2 linked regions of the Struthio camelus genome follow. The protein of the gene in region 1 purifies or fractionates together with the protein of each later gene. This does not show direct contact. Links are inferred from orthologs where the notes say so. Each region holds a gene or a part of one and is shown in the gene's direction. Other genes may lie near its edges.

Region 1 (8,059 bases):
CGCATGGTACATAACAGACAGAATGGTTGGAAACAAATGACAGTCTTAAAGGGTACCAGAGGGTATCAGAGGAGTGCATTCAAAATTACAAAGCAGAAGAAGGAAACTGTTCAGAATTTAAATCAGCCTATGGGATTGAATAGAGGGATATAGTCCCATTGTAGTTTTTTACAGACTGCTTTAAAAAACTCCATAGAAATGTTGGTTCCCATCAAAATCTATTTGACTTTTCTATCACTGCTGCTTTGAAGTCACTTTTTTTGCCAGTATCTTTGCTATACACAGTAGTCTGTGTCTCATGCTGGCATTCTTGTCCTCCTCCCCTACAAGGGCCTCAGAGCAATGAGGCTGCAGCAATATCTCTGAATTTTGTGTATTTTATAAAGGTCAAGAAAAAGAACTAGCCTTTCATAACAATTCTTACTAATGCACATTGTAACATAAAATAAATGATATTTGCACAGTAAAGTGTAACTAAAAGATAATGTTTATGCTTTCCCACCTCCTCCAAGGGACGCGTATTTGTTTATGTAGTCTTCAGGTCATGTTCGTTTTGTATTAGCATTTCATGTTCTCCTCTGACTGATTCCTCTTTCAGTTTGAGTCAGTGGATGTGACCTTACGATGACATTTGCAGAGGGAGGCTATGAGTGCAGTAGCTGTAGGTTCTTCCAGAGCTCACTGGGAGGTCAGGTCCAGGCTGAGTCATCAGATATCTGAAATGGGGCTTAGGAACCTGAATGTTAGGTGTTCCCTTTTTAGCTCATGTCATATCACTAAAGGAGTGAGGACTCCATTTTGATTGTAACTGAGAGGTGAAAACTCTCTATGAAGAGCCATCGTGCAGACATGGAAAATGTATACTGAGCCAAAGTCCACCCTGTGGACTTGTGGGTGTGAATCAGGAGCTATTAGAGTGGGATGAATTCCTCCTGAAAGAGGAATTATGTTCTTAGTCGAGAGAACTCAAAACACCTACATCTTTGCAACACTGGAGTATTTAGGCAGCAAAGTCAGCAAGAAATAATGTATATTGTATTCCCTACCCTGGGCACGTGTGACATTCTGCACCTTTTCCCGTAGAAGTGCCTCTGGCTCCTTGCCTCTCTCAGGGTACTGTGGCCAAAGCAATCATTAGTTCTTGCAAAGGAAATTGAAACCATCTTCCCCTGTGGGAGTTTCTGTCTTCTTGTTATTTGAACATGGAGATACAGGAGGGTTGTTTTTGGTTCTGATATATGCATTTAATCTTTGGGAGTGTCTGAGGATAGCACAGCATGGCCCACACTAATTGTAAGGCAAAGCTTGAGGCTCTGCTCACTGGAATATGATTGTAAAAGGTGCAGAGACATGTGCCCTAGATCTATATTCTCAGTGAAATATGCCACCTAAAATATACTGCTGTCTTTCTGTAGTGAAAAAGTTCAGACAAGGTATAAGTATCAAGTGAACTGCTCCAGGTAACTGGTGCATAAAGTAGTACGCTGTGCTGTGACAAAGTATTGTGATGCGTTGTGATGTGCTCTGCTTTACACATGAGAAATTGTCAGCAGAAAACCTAATCCAACAGCGACTGTGCAACTGCATAATGCAATAGGTCCCCTAGCTGCATATTTTTTGCATCTCGTATCTGCGTATATTCAGTAGTTGCTATATTCATACGCTTAAAAACTATTACATATGAGTGGAACCACATTATATGTCCTGAGACTGTTATTCTGTTGCAACTAATCAATATTTTCTTGCTTTCAGAACTGTACCCATGAGCCAACTGCAGTAGAGTTAGTCATCATCAGTAGTAATATGCTATCAGTGAGAATATAGTTTGTGGTTATGTCCATTCTCACATGCATTTCTTCATGAGATGGCAGAAATATTGCCAGCTTTGCCCAGAAAATGTGTCTATAACAAGCCTATTGGTCTCCTGGTTTGCATAAATTAACTTTGTTTTTTCACCAGCCTTAGTTGCTTGATTCAGGTGTATTTTAAAACAAAACGGTGCTTAGTAGAACTGAAGGGCTACTTAATTCAAAGTAATGGAAGCTGAGCTTGTGAACAAATCCAGAAATGGAGCAAATGTTAAGTGTGCTTTCCTAAACCTACTTCTGCTGGTTCTTTTGAAGAAATATGAAGAATAAAGAGAATCTTGCTGTTTGTTTATCCATTTCTTGTTTTCCTGTGGTAATCCTCCTTTGTCTTCTCTCAGATTCAACTCTCTTTTATTGTACCCTGTTTGCGAGACCCTGACTTCCCCGTCAGTAAGAGCTGGCTATCATCTCCATCATTTTCTATTTAAAGAGAAATAAAAGTTACTCATATGCAGTGACTGAGTTTGAAATTTGTCCCAAAAAAGGGCTCAATTTATGTATTTATTTTTACAGGTAACATTTTGTAACCTCTTGAAATGTCTTGGGGTTAAGCTGAAAATGCAGATCCATAACTGATTGTGTCCCTGGGGAAATATTAAAAAGTCCGATGCAATGCTAATAAATCATAATGACTGTTATTATTATGCTTTGGATGCATTGTAATAAAGCCACAACATTGTTTTATTGGAAAAAAATCAACCCCCAAATGTATGATTTCATTCCTATATAGTAATATTTCTGTAATTAATATTTTAAACTTCTATGAGGTCTTCCTCTGAGGATACCAAAGTATTTCACAGATATTAATTAAATAAGGTCTTATTCGTCAATCTTTATCCGTATAAGTAGTCTCATTGGCTTCCCATCTGCAAGGAATTTTGGACTCTTCTCTGAGTTAATGCATTTGATTATTTCCACTTCACTAATGTAAAAAATGAGACACAGAGGAGTTAAATGGTTTACTCAAGACAGAAGGGAGAGTTAGTGGTATTTGAAAATAGACCTTCTGAAGCAGAGTCCTGTGCTTTCATCAGAAAATGGTGCAGCAGCACTTGTAGGAGCTTGAAGTGGATCAGATCCCTGTTGCCCACAGTGCTGCAATCCTCTAGCAACGGGCACATATGCTGCCATGTATGTCCAGTTTCATGCACTGAGTGAGACACTCGTGCAAAGAGCTCCTGCATGGTGGTTCTCCTTGGCTAGCCTTCTCTACACCTTGTCAGCTACAGCTGGCAGTGCTCATCCGTGATCTGCCATCCTGTGGCATTTCGTTGTTTGAAACATGGAGTGGGGAAGAGGTTACAGTACTGTGCTGTGCTAGCTGTGCACCAAAGCAGCCTGCACCCAAAGCAGACACCTAACTGTTACACTTACCACTTGGTCTGATGCCCTAAGTCCTACATATCTCTCTGCACATACCCAAACATGCTGGGCAAGTGCTGGGCAGCTTGAATGGTCTGTTCTGGATGAAGCTGAAAAAAAGCAGGGCATGGTTCACACTTTGCAATGACGCGCTCCTCACTTTTGTGTCTCAGGACTAGAGTATCCTTCAGTGTGGGGAGGGGTGACTGGGCATTGGAAGGAAACCCAGGAGTGTGAGAGGGAGGGAACTGCAGCGTGTGTGGTGTGAATGACGTGGGGAACCACCTGCAATGTTCATAACATCTGGGACCTTGAGCCCAGTATCTTCTTTCTAATCAAATAGTCCATTCTGGAAGACTTAGGCACCCTTGCCTTTGCAAGGTGTGAGTCTACACCGAAGTATCAGCATTTTTCCTTAAGGTCAATGGGACATCATGCACATTATAAGAGTGCCAAGGGTGTAGATCCAATGAGCAATAGCGAAAAGGCAAACAGAAAGGTTAAATCAGGGAGATTTTCACTCTTGATTTTAAGCCAAGGCTCATTACAATCTTGACGTAGTATCAGGAAAAAAGGTCTGGGTATTGTTTAAAAGTCTTGGAGAGCTGGCTGACATGTTGTCAGGGATATGAGAGTTTCACACCTTCCTGGCAGGGACAACCAGAGTTCCTTCACCTGCCACAGTAACTGTTGCATATCGTTAACTATAGGCAAAACAATTGCTCTAACACACAGTTACAAGGGGCAAATAATTTAACGGGCAGCAGAGAAGGTGGATGTGTGATATAATGGCCTGAGCAAGTCGGAGCAAGGAGCAGGCAAGGAGAGGGAATGATGCTGATCCTGAAAGACCCTAAAAGCAAAGCAGGTGAGTTGGAAGAGATCACATATTATAGATGATGTGGTCCTGCTAAATGCCCCCTTCAAGATTGCTTTTGCTAAGACTTAAGTGGACGATGTTTATGCATGGACACTGTGAGTACAACTAGCCTGAAGTTTGACAAGGTATTCTCAAGTAAAAAGAGACCCATTATGATCTGCAGTGTGTTCTACTTATGTGCATTGTTTTGCCACTGGGATCAGTGAAGTAAGAGCTGAAGGAAAAAGTGTAGGCATCATCTTGATTTCATATTGTGCTGTTCCCCCTCATTCATTATATAAGCTGGACAATACATACTAACCTTTCCAAACTGAGTATTATCCCCGTGTTCCAGCTAATCCATTTCTTCTATGTGTGCCTGATTATTTTCTTCTAGCTCATCCTTGGATCAGAGCTCACTCTTCCTTGGCCAACTTGCCCTGTACCAGATGTGGGGAAGGTGGCTACCATTTCACATTTACGGCTTCAAGTAATCTGACATAGGGTCTGTCTTTCATATTTACATGTTATTAGAGCAGTTCTTTTGCAATAGTAAGCTCCTACAAATACTACTTGGAACGGGTTCACAGCTGCTTTTGTCATCTTTTGGAATTCTGAAGTCTCACATTTGTAGCCTTAAAAATATATGAACCATTGTAAAGCATCTATAAATACCCGTGGTAATGTTTGCCCTGTTTTTTTTTTAACAAGCAGCAGCTACAGGAAAGGTACATTGAGATCCCTTCGCCCCAGTAAATAAAACTCTTCAGGATAACATATTTTATTTCAAAATTATACGGTAATTTCTTTTTTTTTCTTTAGGTTCCAGAAACATGTCCATATATGGTCTGCTTGTCAGGGACAATAAATAATGATGTAATAGAAAGGTCAACTTTGTGTCATTTAGCTACAGGATGCTCGATGAAGTGAAGTTCCACAGATTAATGCAACAAAGAAGAACTTTAGAATGGGTAAAAGTTTCTCCAGTGCATCTTCAAACAGGAAATCTGAGATTCAGAACAACTTATATTTTGGCTTGTATTCGCTGATCATGGGGTGATCCAGAAATAAACTCCAGGCTTCAAAGTGAGAGTGTTTCAAAGCTGTCCTGCAGTTGATCGAAACATCCAGGCAAAGCAGGGAGATGAATACCAACGAGGATTTTCTGAATTAAGACTTAATCAAGGAGATAACTCATTTCAACAATATTATTAGCCTTTTATTTCAGGACAAAAAGGTAATGCAAATGTGCATGTTTTGAACTTATTTTGTATTTTCAATCTGCCAGTTTGCTATGGCTATGCAAATACTTATTTCTCTAGCAATTTGTAACCTAACACCCTAAGATAATCTGTGGAGTTTTTGTGTTTCTACTTTTATTTTTTTAAATAAGCCATAAAACACTTACTGTTTAAAGTTAATTCTAGAATAGTTAAGCAGAACTGTAGCTCCATCATTTCCTTATTTTTCTTTTACTTGCAGGTGATGCTTATGTCTTTCTCCCTAGAATAGTTTGCTCAGAAATAATTGTCGTCGTTTTTATGGCATGCTAAGGTACAGTGAGTGTAGTGTGCAAGGGGCAGTGTGAAGAAAAAAAGTGACAAAAGTGAATGATTTCCTTCACTTAAAGCTTTCCAGCTGGTACAACAGAAAGCTAATACTGCACTGAATGCTACATGAATTGATGCTTTCTAAGAAGAAATAAGAGCGTGCAGATATATACATTTGCAGTAAAGAATCTGTTTGGAATCATAATTTGATGGCATTGTACGATATGCCAGACTGATAGGTGACCTGTTTTAACAGCTGGGGCTTGACAAAGGGGTTTGTTTACTTGGAGGATTCCTTTGGGAAAGCTAGCTTTTTTGCTTCCTTCAGCGCTGGGCTATAACTTGACCACTTTGCATAAGTTGTTAGTACAAAATATGTTTGCCTGTAGCTGTAGCTGGACAGTATAAGAGGTTGTTCTTCTAATGCTCCACTTCTGATGGGCACTGAAAATCTTTCTATTTTTAAAAAAATGATTTACTTCCAAGCATACTTGGAAAACTGCAGTGATTTATCTTGAAATTGACCTAAAATACAGCAAAAATGTCAATATTTCAAGTGCTGTAAATTGGTGTAGTTTCCAATGCCAGCAGAGGATCTGGCCTGAAAGGTGCAACGGTAAGGACTAAAGTGGAAGCTTCATTTACTCTAAAGAGTTTCAGTCATGTCCTGCTGTGTTCAGAAGTAAAGGCTAACATGTGGAGCAGTATCTGCAGAATCTGGGACTCAGTCATTTCTCGGAAAAGAAAAGGCAAAACAAGCATATTGCTCCTCTTCTCTTTCTTTTGCAGGCTCTCAACTACTTATTTTTGTTTTTAGAAATGTGGTTTATCCGATGCTGAGCCATAAATACTGAGGTTCTCTACTGAGTTACAAGCTGATCGGGGTAAACCGAGTGCTAAGGCAGGCAAAGTCTCCAGCTCTGCTCCTTTAATGACCTTGTCACTCACCTGCCACCCTCCTCTGACAGCAATAAGTAATTCTGCTAATTCTGCTGCCTGGGGTCTATTGAATAAGGACAGGCAGCCTTGCTAAGCTTTTCTTTAAGGAAGTGCTGTCAATGGGGACCAGTTGTTTCAGATGCTAATGGTGTTGAGTAGTGGTTCTGCATGTTCAAAGGCAGCTGTAATCCTTGTTGTTTATTTATGTTGCATCAGAGATCAGAGGCCCATTCTCTCAAACACTGTATGTTGACAGAGCTTGTAGTCCAAATATAATAGCAACATAATTGTGTTTGTCTGTGGATTTTACCATAATGTGAGTGGTTACTAATAGTCACCCTGGTGAGTAGTACCTTTGCTTTCAGGGACTTGCCAGGTACAGCTGCTCATTAACGCAAAGAGGAGCTCCACAGCCTGGCCCTGGCACAAGCATTTAATTTCTTACCTTATATTTTTGTCACTAACTGCAACTAAGGTATGTCACAGGCCTGATTTCTGCATCTTAAACAAACTCTCACTGAAATCAGGACAGCAAAATTAAAAATCAGGTAGGAATATTGTCTACGTGGAGAGAGCACGATCAAGCCCTGTGTGGAAATGGTAATAAATTTAGATCCAAAACCTCTTGTCAAACTGAGATATTAAATGGCAGCACAGACAGCAAAATGCCAAAATGTGTCTCGCTACCAAGAGAGATCAGTAATGAAGCAATTCAGACCTGAAGGCAAGGGTTCTGTAATGAATAATATTGACACCGTAATCAGAGCTTTAAAATTCAGGTTCTCTTCTTAAAGGAAAAGCAATGCTGTATGTTATCTGCTTGTAAGAATGGGCTCTTGGACTGCCAGAGAAATGCAGGGGACAGCCAGACATTAAAACCTCTCACAAAAACCTAGAGTGACCAGTTAACCCAGCATTTAATTTGTAAATCTGATTCCAATATGTTAAACCTGCAATAATGAAGCTTAAAGAAAGCAAAAAAGGCAGATTCACACTGAAATTAGAGAGACTACTTTGGTTGGATCGTACTCATCTGAACTACTAGTTCAACCATCCCTACAAATGAAGATTGATTTTTTTCACACCTTTCTTATAGAAGGTGGAAAATATTTAGGTTATAGCACATTAGTCTAGTTAGCTTTTGTAAAGTCGTGGCAGGTAGTTCACTACTAACTAATGGCTCTGCCACCAGATCATATTACCTTAGCCCTACCGTGTCAGTTGAGCCAGGGTAAGTCTGTGTGACTGCAGCAGTGCCATGTAATGTGGCCGAGCTTAGCCCACAATGAAAGAAGGTTAAACTAAATCAGGTTACTTTGGATTAGCCTCAAGCTAAGGGCATGCACTTAGTCTGTTATCACAGCTCACCTGGCTCACAGTAACTTGTTGCAGAAAGAACTTGAATCTGTGCCTGAGCCCCATGGCTCTATAGCTACAGAGAAAAACATTTCCAGGTGGAACAGGATGGTGCCAGGTCTGCT
Region 2 (8,073 bases), on another chromosome or scaffold:
TTTCTGTTTTGAAGATGGGATGTCAAACACTCAGAGCTTTGGATGGGTATTCTTTTATGTCCCATAAAATCAGAATCCAGAATAAATTCCTACTGAATTACACTGTATCTTTGCTCTGAAATTATTCCAGAAATGTATACAATTTATAATCAATTAATAAAACAATATTCTGAATTTAGATACCTACTATTATGTACCTTGCCATCTACAATTGTCAAACAACCTTTTTTTCCTATTCTGTAGCATGCAATAGGCTGAGCAGCTATAATTCTAGCTGAACAATCATTTGAGTAACTGAAAGAAACTTGGTTCAAGTTCCTGCATTTAGACAGGACATCTTCAGTAAAGTCTGAATGAATAGAGCCGATGCAGTCTTCCTCTCTGCAATAATGAATTTCTATTTACAGATAAACACAGTGGAAAAAGTACATAGGGAAAACTCACTGAAAGAGCTGTTATGTTCTGTGCTACTCTTGTATGCTGACTTCTCAGTGTCATGTGAGCTACAGGAGTCTGTGGGGAACAAATGAATTTTAGAGTGCCAGGACAGTATTTTTCCAAAAATGCTTGTAATTTTTTTTTTTTAAGAGCTGTTTAGATGATAAAATAGCGCCCCCTCCCCCAAATAGTAGTTTTTCAGCTAATAATTATTCCTATAAAGCAAGATACACAGTGTTAAAGGTACCTGACTCTTACTTGCTGTGCAACTTTCACTGCTAATGTAAATTTTGGCCCATACACAGTGAGCGTATGAGTAGATGAGGTGAGAGGAGGCTAGTCAGGACATAAAAAGGAGGTAACACTTAATTTTTTTTATTTGGAAAAAATAGTTTTAAAACTCATCTCCTTCACGCTAATTATTGAAAGCAATGTCTCCTGCTGTGTCCCTCTCTCTGTCTCTCTTTCCCCTGCCCTATATGAAAGGACATCTCAGGCTTTCTGAACCAATTCAGAACTGTATCTCTGTTGAACTGGAGGCTCAGGAAAGGAATTGGTAGTGCCTCATGGCCCCTTATATGAAGGGGAGAGGTGCAAAGACCAGAGGAAGGGATCGTAATTGTTTTTGCTGACCACCTTTGGTATTTTACTGACTTCAGACTGTTTTTCTATCCCTGGCGTGTCAGCAACAGAGCAGTTCCCGTTGTTCCCACTTGTTGCTGTCTCTCCCTTCAGCTGCAGTGCACCCTGCACAGTTGTGCAGGAAAAGCTGCTTATAGCACTGTGAAATTAAGAAATCCAGGAACAGTTACAGGTTAAAACTTGCATTGCCCAATTATTAAAAAGTGTATTTTATATTTGCATTTGCAAAATGCATGACAAATGTGCTACATCTTGATGGCATCCAAATATAATTACATTTTGTCTTATAGGTTGTTCTAATGAGTTTTTACAACTGAAGAGGAGAATTGCATCTAGTTTCCCTCTCACCTCTGATAAGAACAATTAAAGACAAATGATATTTTTTGGAAAAGAATTATGTATCTGGGAATTCACCTAAGCAATCCAGCTAATCATGTAAGTTTAAAAAAAATAGGGAGAGAGGCAGCTGATACTCTACAAAGCAGAAATAATGTGCTTCAATTTCAGAAAATTTTTACTTTCCAAACATATGTTCAAAATTCAAGGATCCAGTTAAAATTATTAAACACCCATGTGAAAAGGTATAAGAAGACATATCATCAGAGACAGGAAAATTACATATACATTTTCTTTTCAAATTTCAAAATTTGTTTTTAAACTTTTCTAGATCATGCCTAGTCCCACTAATTCAGATTCACAAGTGCCATAACAGTTTAACAGGGGAGGGAGGAATATGATCAGGTACAAAGAATTGAATCTAAGAAGTACAAGTGTGTGACTACAGTAGTTGTTACAACCTTGTCGTTGATCTTTTCTAATATTCTCTTTCCTGATGCAGTAAAAATATGATAGCTGCTAAGAGCCTGTTGAGAGACCTTGTGGTAAGATAGGTCAGCAGGGAGAGAGAGAGAGAAGCAGTTTTGCATCTAAATATTTTCACTGTAGGTTAATTGTATTTCTCTCTGATTGGGAAATAGAGATTGGGGTTTTTTTGGTGCGTAATCTATAGTCCAGTTTATCCTCAGACTCTGCTATACAGCATAATGATGCTGCAGCTTGAGTCTCTCACAGCTACATATGGTGGGTCCTCCCAAGTTTACAGATCTCTCAACTCTGGCTGAGCCAGAGGCTCAGTGCCATCAAGCCAGTAATGTTCTTTCCCTGGCTGCCGACTATGAATTTGGGAATTGGACAGTGTGGATTGAGAGCAGTGTGAACCAGCTAAGATAGGAGCAAAGTATCTTTTTTTTTTTCACCTGATGTTCAGTGGTGAAAATTTTTTATTTCTATTCACACTTACTTCACGGCACTTGGAAAGCTGGATAGGTGTACCACTTACTCCAGAAATAATTCATTCTGAGCATGGCCCACAGAATGACTTGGAAATGATTTCCTTCTCAGCAACTTGAACTCCCTTGTTTTATGCTATACTGAGAAAGCAAAAAGAAGTCTTTGTTTAGCGTGCCGGAGTAGTGTGAGTTTTAACATTGCATAACTGAAGGTAAGAACAGTTCTGATTTAGAGCCTCAATTATGAGTTTTACAAATAAAAGTTTTCAAGTTCCTGAAGGTGAAGAAAATAAGGGATTGATTATGGATCATAAAATTCAGGTAATCTAGCCAAAACTGCTTTTTCTTAAATTAACTTTTATAAAGTGCATATTTAATTAAAACGATATACAGCATTATAGTCATATTTTGTCAGAGTGAGAATCCATGTTTAAAAGATCATAAAAGCTACGTGCTTAGAATTTAGGATGAGAATATAGGTTTTTTTTTTTTTTAATATTATTGTTACTATTACTTACTGTATTGTTCCAGTGTCAGAAGAGGGGCTGAAACTTATCAGATTTCCTCTGGTAGTAATTTTTTCAATTGGTAGTGTAGGAAAATGGTAGAAATGTATTATGCTCCAGTTACCCTTTCCTCATGGGGGTTATTCCCAGCTGTTATGGCCCTAAACTGTTCTTAAAATTTAGTAAAACCGAGCAGTCCATCTTAGTAGAACTGTTTAAGTCTCAACCACTTCCTGAACCAGCTATGGAAACTGTTTCTGGCAAACTGTTCCTTACTGCACCTTTTTCCAAAGAAACACAACCTGTGCTCTCCTAGAAAAGCAGCTACCTCTCTCCCTTCTCTCTACTCAAGCGGATATGAGAAGTCTTAGCTCCAGCTCGGGTTTTCTTGCTGGTTTGTCAGCCCACCCCTGGTCAGAACTAGGGACAGAGAAGACTTTTTCCTTTAGTTTTTTTGTTCTGTGGACAAGCTGAGGTGAATCAGTATTGTCCATCCACATCTGCAATGTCTCACTGTTGATCTTTCACATTCAAGCTGTGCTATGGGATATGGGAGTGTTTTATGGTATACCTCCACAGAAACGTCCTAAACGACATATAAAAGTAAATGCTACATACATATGTAAAGCTGCTGAGAAAATTATTTGGTTTTTTGGTTTTGTTTTTTTTTTTTAAATGGGGATTTTCTGTTTGCTTCATGCATTTAACGTTTGGAAAACTGTTTAATAATTCTGGGCCCCACACTAACAGCCTCGCAAACTTTAAAACAGAAATTGAAACTGGTCTTTCTTCAAATAATTACTTTCTCCTTATGCAATTTATAATAATCAGATATTCAAACCCAACTTGCCCTACTTATACAAGTGGAATCACTTGGAGTGATGGGAGTACTCTAAGGTTTCCTCTGCTTCGTTGTATTCGGTGTCCCAGCTGGCATGAGAGGGCTGGGAGGGCTCCAACAAATAGGTTCTTTGTAATTAAGCAGGATCACTGATGTAGTGAAATGCAGCTCCCTGGGGTTTCTGTCTCCTGTGATGTTAGTGAACCATCGGGGACGTGATAGCCTGATAATATTGAGGACAGTAGACCAGAAATTTTTAACTAGATAAATGCACTAAACTAATCCAATCCCTGTTGAATCAGGATTTTGATGATGTTACTGCTCCAGAGAACAGGAGAGAATGGAAGTAGGTGGAATTTCATTTTCAGTCCTGTTATGCTACCTTCGTACCTGTTGGACGGCGGAGGCTTGTACCGTTTCTTTGGGTATAAGAGAGAGACACCCTTTGTGTCTCCTTTGTGCTGCCAAAGATTTTGTCCTTAAAATCTTTGTTTTCATCTGACGCTTAAAATAATTTAAAGCATAATTTCCTTTAAATGCATACTATTAATATAACACATTATTTTAGTGTAACTCCATGACATTGTATCTTATTGGAACAGATTGTAAGTGTTGTGGTTCTTAAACGCAGCCTAATCAAGTACTCTGAAGTTAGCACGACGCCCCAGCTGGCAATACGCTCGGAGAACTTTGTGCAGCCGACGCACTGGAAGCTCTTGAGAAGAGGAAAAGAAAGGTACGCTGTTTCTAACTTTTGCTTGTAAAATTTAAATTACTCCCGTTAATTTGTTTGTCCTCATGTTAACTATAGCAGTCTGTCTTTTCAACTTGTGCATGAATTTCGACATTAACAAATTTACATTAAACTTCAAAGTAGGCTTAAGGAGATGGGGCGCTATTTTGGAAGAATGAGTTTTATATACTTTTTTTTTTTTTTGGATTAAGGTGAGGAAAGGAATCCAAATTCCTCTTTTCTTTTAAAATAATTATGGGTATTGCTTGCCTTGGTCTTATCCAAGGGAGCTGGGGCCAGACCCCGGCCCGGCCCCGACACCCCTCACGGAGCCGCCCGGCCCGGCCCTTCCTCCGGCCGCGGGGTGGCGCTGCGGCCCCGCTCCGCCGCCCGCCGCCCCGCCCCTCCGCCATGGCCGATGTGGAGGACGGGGACGAGCCCGGGGCCTCCCACTCACACCCGGGCTCCTCGGGCTCCAAGGCGGGCGCCGCCGACAAGATGTTCTCGCTGAAGAAGTGGAACGCGGTGGCCATGTGGAGCTGGGACGTGGAGTGCGACACCTGCGCCATTTGCCGCGTGCAGGTCATGGGTAAGCGCCGCCCGGCAGGCCCGGCCCGGCCCGCCATGGCCGCCGCCCCCGCCGCGGGGGAGGTGTCGCCGGCGGCGGCTCCCGCCCCGCCCGGCCGCCGCGCCGCTTCCCCTCGCGGCGGGGGCGGGCGGGCAGACGCGGGGGGCGGCCTCCCGCCCCCCCCGCCCCCCCCCGGCCGCTTCTCGTCCGTTGGCGAGCGCGGCCCGGCCGGGTTACGGCCGAGCGGGCAGACGCGCGGCGCCCGTCTTTCTGAAGAAGCGGTAGCGGAGGGACGGCGGCGCGCTCGTAGCCGCGCGCACCGTCGCTGAGAAGCGCAGCGAAAAACAACGGCGTCGCTTACCTGGCGTTGAGGAGACTCTCTCCGGGTGCAGCCCTCCTCACTGGCTGGCCTTCGTGCTTTCTGACCGCTTTGGGTCTTTGGAAATTCCGTAAATTCCTCTTCCGCTGTGTCTCTGTATCCGCCCTGGCCTCTGTGCTGAGTCATCCCCGACATAACTGCCCGGGAGCCCCTGGGTGGGTCGGCAGCGCGGGGCTGCGCTCGGCGCGACGGGTCGCCTGAGGTCCTGCCGCGCCAGCCCGCTCTGGCCTTAACCTTTGGTCCCGCTTGGGGACGCGGCAGGTGCCGGGCAGCCACTTCTCAGATCCGTGTTTTTACGGAGAAGGGTCGTTGGAACAGAAAAAGCACGCAGGTGTCCTGCAGGAAAGACACAGCCCAGACTGAGGCGGTGGGAGACCGGCCTTTTCTCTGAGCGTATCTTGAAGTTGTTCCAGGCCTGCTCTCAGGTGGTGAATGGAGACCAGCCCAGAACTATGAAATTGGCTTTATCTGCTAAAAGTAAACCGTAATTTTAGGAGTGAATTTGCCTGTTCCAGCTGTTACTGCTACTCTATGATTTATGAGAAAACAGAACTGCTGGAGAGGCAACTTCACTTGATTACTCAGGACTGTTACAAAAACAATCATTCCACTTAAAGGGAAGTGTAAAAAGTCCTCAAAAAGTCATCCAGATGTTTTACGAAAACTTTTAAAAGTGGCTATCGGCTTTCTCTGATGATTTCAGATGAAAAATACTCCCTTGGTCTAATTATGAAAAATTATAAATGAACAATTTTTAAATTTAGCACAAACCAGATTTTTTGAATGTGAAACTTTATTATTACCACCTTTAGCAATTTAATGTTGACCCCTGCCAGACCTGGTCTGGCTGCTGTAGATCCAGCGCATCTGCAGTAGCCTTAGGTTGGAGGCTGAGCAAGACTTGAGCTGGCTCTGCATATCTGAGGTTGGTTTGCCTTTTTTTTTTGCAGGGGAAGGAAATGTGAGCTGGCTTAATTTTCTTTACTGGTTTAACTCCTTGAACCAACTTGGGCTTCAAGGATCACAGAAGCACGAGGGGAAAGAAGCAGCAATGCAGAGGCGTTGTCTGGAAAGGGCAGGATTGCAGCAGTACTGACTTAATTTATTTAACCTTTCACAGACTAACACCCTTAGGATTGTGATGCAGGAGTTGGGGGGCAGCTTATGTTGGTACAGGTGTAGTGATTTGTGTCCTCAGCTGTCCGTGCTGCTTCTTTGTCTGAAACAAACCCAGAGCTGGAATAGGTAAGCTTCTTTTACAGCAGCTACTAGCCCACCGCAGCTTACTACCCAGCATACTGATGCGACTCCAGATCAGTTTATTTTGATGTGCCCTGCTGTAAACTGAAGCAGTTTGGCTGAATCTTCACTGCAGTTTGACCCCTAGATGCTATGGAATTATCATAATAGAAAACAAGAAACTTTACTTACTGCCTTTCTTTCATCTTCGTGAGGAAAGGACAAATACTTAAAAGTTTGGATGCTCTTCCTTCTGTATTAGCTGAAAAAGGAGGACTATCTGGCAGGTCAATCTGAAATAGAAGCACCTTGCAGTATCTGGTAGAGAAAGAAGAAATACTCGGACTGAAAGTCCTGTGTTATGTCAGTTCTGTATGTTGTAGAACAATGTTCCAGCTGTTGACCTGCAGGCCCAGTCCAGCCTCTGGGATGCTTTTGTCTAAACGATTACCTCTCCTTTGCAGGAGATGAAGATGTGTTTGCACTGTGTATGCTGCCATAATAGTTGAACGCTTTGCTGTGCACGATCTGTGCATGCGTGTCTGTGGCAGTCCAAGTTGGAGCAAAGGAGAAATGAAGGCATGCTTCCTCTGTATTTGTGTGGCCCGGTACAAAGCCTGGAAGTTGTCCCTAGTACATCTGTAATCCTGAATCTGTCATCTAGACCTGTAGGCACAGAGACTGGAGCGTACAAAGAAGATAAATATTTTTAGTTAGATGTTTTCCCCATTTATCTCCTCATTTATGCTATCAGACTGATCAGTGTTTAAAAATAGTTTGTGTGCATATGTCAGTATTGCAAAAATTACAAGCAGGTATCCTTTAAGGAAAACAAACATTTAAAAAAATGGTAGTAGTAGGTGGGGGTGAGGTGGGAGATGTAGAGGCTAAAGACCATCAAATTTTTGAATGACTTCCTTAAAAGGAGATGTTGGCATCTGAAAAACAAAGCCCTGTAATTAGGGTTTGGCTATGCGCTTGCTCTGGTCTTGGTATGTGCGAGTGCCTTGGCACAAATCTGGCTGTCATATCTGCAAAATGGAGAATACTTTTTTCAGCAGAAGTTGTGAAAATACTGAAGCAATGGAAAATAAACAAAAGTTGTTGAACAGTTTGTAGTCCTTCTGATCTCTTGCAGATACGTATTTCCTTGTGTCGTGTGCACTCTTTTAAATTTTAGGTGGGAGGACAGTTTAATGTTAAAGGGCTGATCCAGCAAAATGTTAGATTTTACCTATGTTCTGGAGTTTATACTTTCCTTTAACAAACAATTCTTCAGACAGTATCCTGAGCATCAAATTGGGTTTTGTTCTTGTTTACTTTTAGATGCCTGTCTTAGATGTCAAGCTGAAAACAAACAAGAAGATTGTGTTGGTATGTAGTGATTTCATTTGCTTGTTTTTCAGTTGAAGCTTTTCTCTCGGTAGGGTGCATTTTA

The links. The genes of interacting proteins can lie anywhere in the genome.
Region 2: the proteins of ASB2 (region 1) and RNF7 purify together in Homo sapiens (affinity purification with western blotting; 3 studies listed by BioGRID and IntAct, with this or other methods). This does not show direct contact. The link is inferred for Struthio camelus from reciprocal best matches to the Homo sapiens genes ASB2 and RNF7.

Annotation. Positions count from the first base shown.
Region 1 is NC_090946.1:66,721,634-66,729,692, reverse strand, and holds the start of ASB2 (ankyrin repeat and SOCS box protein 2), read left to right. Parts: upstream 1-4,990; 5' UTR 4,991-5,326; intron 5,327-8,059. UniProt on the Homo sapiens protein: Substrate-recognition component of a SCF-like ECS (Elongin-Cullin-SOCS-box protein) E3 ubiquitin-protein ligase complex which mediates the ubiquitination and subsequent proteasomal degradation of target proteins.
Region 2 is NC_090950.1:15,209,420-15,217,492, forward strand, and holds the start of RNF7 (RING-box protein 2), read left to right. Parts: upstream 1-4,805; 5' UTR 4,806-4,860; coding exon 4,861-5,038; intron 5,039-7,961; coding exon 7,962-8,009; intron 8,010-8,073. UniProt on the Homo sapiens protein: Catalytic component of multiple cullin-5-RING E3 ubiquitin-protein ligase complexes (ECS complexes), which mediate the ubiquitination and subsequent proteasomal degradation of target proteins.